2 linked regions of the Oryctolagus cuniculus genome follow. The protein of the gene in region 1 binds, or shares a complex with, the protein of each later gene. Links are inferred from orthologs where the notes say so. Each region holds a gene or a part of one and is shown on either strand. Other genes may lie near its edges.

Region 1 (3,641 bases):
TAGCGGTAAAACATGTTGTTAAAGTTTTTGAGCTTTAAAAGTTATCTTCCATATTTATCCAAGGATTCTGAGGTTGTTAAGTCTAAACCAACAGCATGTTTTACTCAGAAGGCTTTAATTTCTTTTTGTGTAAATTCTGTTTTAGCTTGCTTGGGTTCTATACTGTGATCTCATTTGCCTTGATTATGATGGAAACATTTTGGATGCCTGCACATTTGCTTTGTTAGCAGCTTTAAAAAATGGTAAGCAGCCTTTTATAAAAGGCTATTTTCCTAAAGGGTCAGAATGTTCTGTTTTGTGAAACTTCAGTGTCCACTGGCTCAATAAACTTTTTAAAGTTTTTTCTTAAGATAAGCCATCATTCATGTTTTTAAATTAATGAATATGGAGCTGGCATTGTGACAGGGTAGGTTAAGCCACTGCTTAAGACACTGGCATACCATATTGGAGTTCTCACTGCTCTGCTTCTGAACCAGCTCCCTGCCAGTGTTCCTGGGAAAATAGCAAATGATGGCCCAAGTATTTGGACCCTTGCCACCTATGGGAAGCTAGGATGGAGTTCCTGGCTTCAGCCTGGCTCAGACCTGGCTGTGGCAGCCATATGGGGAGTGAATTGGGATAAAAGATCTATACATCTCTCTGTTTTTGGTTCTACTCCCCAAATAAAATCTTTAAAAAATTAATGAATATATTACTGCTGTGACTTCCCAAATACACTGGGAAGTTCTATATTCTCTTAACTGAATGCCTTTTAGAGTCTTGCCACAACTGTCCCCATCTATTTGAGGTAGGACTGCAGTCGTTCCCCAAATAGCATTAATGTGGAGGGAGTTGTGACTACTCTCTAGGAGGTTTGGTGAAGATCTAAGTATTCTCTAAGTTCTTTTGTTGCCAACAAGGTGTAGAATGCATTCTATTGTTTTTACTCTAAGGCCATATAAATTACCTTAGTAAGGATCAGTAGACTCATTAGTTAGGATTTCAGTGGCTTGTATTTATCATTGCTTTGATGAAATGATAATACAAGGTATAAGTAGTAGTTAGCATGGTGGTATTACAGAGTAGCGGTTAAAGGACTCAAGTTTGAATCCTGACTCTACCAGTCTATGCTTTAGTTTCCTTGTTTGTAACAAAATGAAGATAATAGTACTTTTCTAAGAGTGTCAGTGATTAAATACATGAAATGCATAAAACAGTACCTGGCATATAGAAAATGACTAAAAGTTTTATCTACTAAAACTCATTTTGATTTCTTTAACTTTAAAAAGTTAAATAAGCACTAGGCAAGAATGTTAAATATTGTGAAAAACAATGTTTATATCTGCTTTATTTACCTTAATTGTTCTAAGATGCCTTTTTAAAAAGAATGTTTTGGATAAGTTAAACTGAAGACAAAAAAGTTAATAAACTGAAGAAATCATTTGTTGCTTAACACTACTCAGAGTGACTTTGTATTTGCCTTTCTCTAGTACAGTTACCTGAAGTTACTATTAATGAAGAAACTGCTTTAGCAGAAGTTAATTTAAAGAAAAAAAGTTACTTGAATATCAGAACTCACCCAGTTGCAACTTCCTTTGCTGTGTTTGATGAGTAAGTTAATCATATTTACTGAAAACTTTCTGTATTTGAAGTTAAGAAGATGGATTGTTACTCAGCTTTCTGATTCTTGAGGACATGCCTGTGGTTGACCATATGCCCTAGTTCACCCTGGATCTTTGAATTTATACCTGTTGTCCCTGCAGAGTTATTTCTAGTCAGTTCTTCCACTTTTCTAAACATCCTGATTATTAACTCTATGCTCACCTTGCTGTTCCTTGGTTTATATATATGAAATGTTAATTTTAAGTTCTTTCACTGAAGACTTTACCTGAATCTATTTTCAATATTTGCTAGAAAGTTTAATGTATTCACAAATTGAAGAGCAGAGTTTCTTACAAGTACTAAATTTGAAGTTGCTTTTCACTCTTCTGGTTTCTCATCAGTCCATTCTACCCCTAAGTTAAATTCAGGTGGTATACTTATTATTATTCTTAAAGAAATTTTTTCTATAAATTGGTAACTTTTTTTTTTTTTTTTTTAAATAGCACTTTGCTTATAGTTGACCCTACCGGGGAGGAAGAACATCTGGCAACAGGAACCTTAACGGTCGTAATGGATGAGGAAGGCAAACTCTGTTGTCTTCACAAACCAGGCATGTTTCTACCACTCCAGTCTTAAACCTCTGTTGGTGAAAACTCAGTATGAGCTTTACATAAATGAGAGGGTCAAATGGAATGTAGGATGTCTTATTATTTACCTATAGTGAATTTACTCTAGCTTTGCTATTTTAAGTTCTTTACATTTTCATATTATTAGTGGTTCTTAACATGGCGTACATCAGAAGCCTTGGAAGTCTTATTAAAACTTAACGTGGGGGGGTTGGCATTTTGCCTAGCAGTTAAGACACTGGGTTCATCTAGCTCCAGTTGCTGATTCCAGCTTTTTGCTAATGCAGACCCTGGAGGAGAAACAATGAAGACTCAGTTGTTAGGTGACTGCCACCCGTGTGGGTGGTCTGGATTCAGGATTCAGCTCCTGGCTTGTCTGAGTGGGGGTGGGTGGTGGGTGTGCATGTACATGTGCACTAGTGAATGGAATCTCTATACCTCTCAAGTAAACAACAACAAAATACCCTAGAAATCTTCAGGCAGTGCCACTGGTTTACAATTTTTATACAACTTTTTTTGTTTTGTTTTTTTTAACTTGTTACAGCTTTTTTTTTTTTTCAATGCTAATCTTAAAAGTGCTGATACAATCATTTTTCAGGTGGAAGTGGACTGACTGGTGCTAAACTTCAAGACTGTATGAGCCGAGCAGTTACAAGACATAAAGAAGTAAAAAAACTGATGGATGAAGTAATTAAGAGTATGAAACCCAAATAAATAGCCATGTTTTCAAAACAGATTTGTAAAAAATGTATTTGTTATACTGTGCACAATTTTTTATACTAAATAAATATCAAACTACAATCTTCTGAAAGATGTTTCTTGTATTTCTTAGGTTACTTCTATATATGTTATGTACAATGAAACAATTTTTGAAAAACAATGACTTAGGCAGACCAACCCTAATGTCAAACCATTTCCCTGTTTTTATTTAAAAATTATAGAGTTGTGCTTTTGTATAAAGTTTTTACATCTAGCAATGTAAAATACTGACAACATTAAAAAACCAAAAATGAAGTAGAAACTCAATCCTTTTGATTCAATGCTCTTTTGTGTTTAGAAAAAAGAAAAAAAAATAAGACTCAGAATTTTGGAGTGGTAGGCGTGCCTCTCTTCATTTTACTTTTTGACTGGCTGCCTGTATGCTGATGATGATGTAGCTGAGCTGTTTGTGCTGCTGCTGCTGCTGCCATAGCCATTTGATGCTGCAAGAATCGCAACTGCTGCAAAAAGGAGGGAAAGAAGTACCAAGTTATATTAACGCAGGCAGATGTGGACAGGTGCTTTTCCTGAGAGATGAAAACAACAAAACTGGAAGGGAGAAAGCACCGAGATAACAAAAAGGGACTATACCACACTGAGACAACACACAAACAGCACCAGTGGCACAGTAGCCTGCTGAGGGCTTTCAAAGTGATTCTTTGCAAACGTCAAAAT
Region 2 (3,306 bases), on another chromosome or scaffold:
GCAGCAGCCGAGAGTCAGGAGTTCAATCCATTGTCCCACATAGGAAGCAAGGACCCAACTACTTGAGCCATCACCTGCGCCTCCCAGGGTGCACATTAGCAGGAAGCTGGAATGGAGAGCGGAGTGGGGACTCTTAACCCGGGCAGTGCAGGATAGGACATGGACAATCCCAAGTGGCGGCTTTACCACTGCACCAAACACCCACCTCAGATAATTCGATTTTGCAGGGTCTGGTGTGGTTCTGTGGCATTTCATTCCAGTTCTCTTGAAGCAGCAAAGTTCCTTATCTTTTCCTGCCGCCTCTGATCTCTTTCTGTACTCAGAGGTGTTGCTCCTGCTGCTCTGCATGGCCTGACAATGGGCAAGTGCTTTCTCCCGTGGGCGAAGATGCCTCCCCCCCTCGTTCTGGGTGGCAGCTGGCTCCCGTCAAGACTTGTTCCGTCTGCTCTGAGAGTCCTTCACCTGCTAGGAACCTTCAGGACAGTTTTTCTCGAAGATAATTAACCTTTGGTGAACTTTTTTTTTTTGTAGGAAGGAAGATGTTCGAGCCACTGAAAAAGACAAGGTTGTTGGTTGGTTCGTTTTTCTCTTCCATGAATGAAGCAATTGAAATCCTTTACAATTACTCACATTTATGTTAATTCATCTGACCTGAGTGGGGCTAGGTTTGCCCTTAAAGCCAAGTATTTATTCATTGCTGTCCCCTCAGATGTAGTCCTGGATCTTTCAGAACCAACTGCAGTACCTCTTATATCTTTTCTTTTTCTAAAGATTTATTTTATTTATTTGAAAGAGTTACAGAGAGAGTTAGAGACAGAGAAAGATCTTCCATCCACTGGTTCACTCCTGAGATGGCTGCAGTGGCTGGAGCTGCGCTGATCCAGAGCCAGGAGCCTCTTCCAGGTCTCCCACGCGGGTACAGGGGCCCAAGTAGTTGGGCCATCCTCTACTGCTTTCCCAGCCCACAGCAGAGAGCTGGATCGGAAATGGAGCAGCTGGGTCTTGAACCAGCGCCCACATGGGATGCCAGCGCTTCAGGCCAGGGCGTTAACGTGCTGCGCCACAGTGCTTGCCCCGCCCTTTTTTTTTTTTTTTTTTTTTTTTTTTGTAAGATAAATATTTACTTGAAAGACAGCTACATAGAGAGCTGTCTTCCATCCCTGGTTCACTCCCCAAGCTGAAGCCAGAAGCCAGAAACTCCAGGTCTCCCATGTGGGTGGCAGGGGCCCACATACTTGAGCCATCCTCTGCTGTTCTCCCAGGCACATTAGCGGGACCTGAACTAGAAGTGGAGCAGCAGGGACTCTAATTGGCGCTCAAATGGGATACAGATATGTGTTGCAGGTGGTGGCTTAACTCACTGCACCTCAAAGCCAGCCCCTATAGTACCTTTTTATAGTAAATTCAGTAGTCTGATTCCTGATTGGATTACTGAATTCAAAATCTGATTTGTATGATGTTGACTGACAGGCTATGATGCCTTCTCCCCGCTGGGGTTAGATAGGCGACAAGCTCTCCCAGAGGGGCTAAGGATTCTGTGTGGCTCTGATCCAGAGCTTCACTTAACACCACTATGCTTTCTTCACAGGTTGAAATATACAAGAGTTTCCGTCCAGGGGACATTGTCTTGGCCAAAGTGGTATCCTTTATTCCCAGCAGACTTCTGGTTCTTCGTGAAGAAGACATGGAACTAGAGAAACAACCCAAGTGGCTAAGGGGGGAAGACTTGTAACCTCTCATTTTCCTTCACCGCTGTTGTGTGACTAGATCTCTCTAGGTGACGCCCAGTCCAACTACCTGCTGACCACAGCTGAAAATGAGCTGGGAGTGGTGGTGGCCCATAGTGAGTCAGGTGAGTTGGTCTACACTTCTACATTCTGATTCTTCCTTGGCTGGTATGGTTTGGGATCAATGCATTAATTTTCTGACTTTCCCTAGTTTGTCATTGTTTGGGAAGCAATATAAGTGTAGGTACCATGATGCACTGCATAACAGCATTTTGGTCAGTGACAGACTGCATCTGGGCTGGTGGTCGCATGAGATTATCACCTAGTGATGTTGCAGCCGTACATCCTGTGATGTTCACACAACTATGAAATCGCATGCCCCCATCAGGTGATGCGTGGCTGTGCTTACTGCAGAGATGAGATTCTGCTAGCCCTAAGGAGGTGGGACTCACTTCATAAATCATGAGATAAACACGGTTTTCCCGTATGAGGGGAGGTTTGCTGGTAGCCTGGTAATACTTCAGCTTCGTACCCATCTGAAAGAAAAGGGCTTCAAGCAAACATCTGAGGTCCCAGCTGCAAACCCAGCTTTTCCCTTCCAGGTGTCCAGATGGTTCCCATCAGCTGGTGTGAGATGCAGTGCCCTAAGACCCACACTAAGGAGTTCCGGAAAGTGGCCCGCGTGCAGCCTGAATTCTTGCAGACCTAGGAGGCCATGGTGACCCCCCGGAGGGCTCAGCTGTTTCTGAGAGCATAGGTATGAAAACAGCACCCGGATGCATTGTCTGTCGTCAAAGGCCAGGGTCAGCCAGCACTGCCCGAGAAGACTCGACCAGGAAACTCATTGTGCAGATGAAGCCTTCCTGTGAGTGGATTTCCCTCCCTCGAGTGATGACATTCCTCCTCCGGGGGCTCAGTAAACTGCGAGCTGTGGCCTGTGGGAAATAGCCTGTTCCTCCCGACAGTGTATCTTTATAAATGTGTATATTTTGCTGTGATCAAGAAAACATTTTTTACTAAAAGGATTTTATTACAGGCTGCTGTTGTCTTGAGCTGGGAAAAACCCCTGAATGTGTCATAACGTTTAGAGCAAGGCTTTGCCGATGGCGCCCACTGATCGACGGGTGTCATTTGCTTAGACGAAGCCTGAGCACCAGCCTCTTTTGCATTGTTTTGAGTTCTGTTTTAAATGCTTCTGCTAACTGCTCCAGGCTCTAGGTACACCCCTCACTTCAGTACATTACGGCACAGTGAAAACTGTAGCACGGATGGGCTCATCCAGGTAGCACGTGAATAGGTCTGCAGAGTATTTGGTGAAAATAGGGTTTCTGATGTACTGGGTACTCCAGGACTGGGTGACCCATCGGAATTGAAAAGACGGACAGAGCTTTCACGTGAGGTGGCCGGGAAAGGAATGACAGAATTTGGAGTAAAGTGAAGATATTCGAGGCAGACAGCAGCCCTAGCAAAATGCAGAAGCCGAAATGCAGGGCCCAGCTCGAGTGAGGAAGGGATGGAGTCAAGGATGGAGGGGTTGCAGCGCGGAGGGGAAGGGCGGGCCTCAAGTGGCGCTGCTGGG

Evidence for each region. Proteins that work in one complex are often made in the same cells at the same time.
Region 2: EXOSC8 (region 1) and EXOSC1 share a complex: the UniProt entries of both Homo sapiens proteins name them as parts of the RNA exosome core complex. The link is inferred for Oryctolagus cuniculus from reciprocal best matches to the Homo sapiens genes EXOSC8 and EXOSC1.

The regions. Positions count from the first base shown.
Region 1 is NC_091440.1:77,074,980-77,078,620, reverse strand, and holds the end of EXOSC8 (exosome complex component RRP43), read left to right. Parts: intron 1-145; coding exon 146-242; intron 243-1,469; coding exon 1,470-1,590; intron 1,591-2,084; coding exon 2,085-2,191; intron 2,192-2,805; coding exon 2,806-2,921; 3' UTR 2,922-3,018; downstream 3,019-3,641. Other genes in the region: SUPT20H (transcription factor SPT20 homolog), read right to left, coding at 3,287-3,427. UniProt on the Homo sapiens protein: Non-catalytic component of the RNA exosome complex which has 3'->5' exoribonuclease activity and participates in a multitude of cellular RNA processing and degradation events.
Region 2 is NC_091446.1:32,404,319-32,407,624, forward strand, and holds the end of EXOSC1 (exosome complex component CSL4), read left to right. Parts: intron 1-531; coding exon 532-565; intron 566-1,588; coding exon 1,589-1,639; intron 1,640-1,767; coding exon 1,768-1,852; intron 1,853-2,329; coding exon 2,330-2,436; 3' UTR 2,437-2,765; downstream 2,766-3,306. UniProt on the Homo sapiens protein: Non-catalytic component of the RNA exosome complex which has 3'->5' exoribonuclease activity and participates in a multitude of cellular RNA processing and degradation events.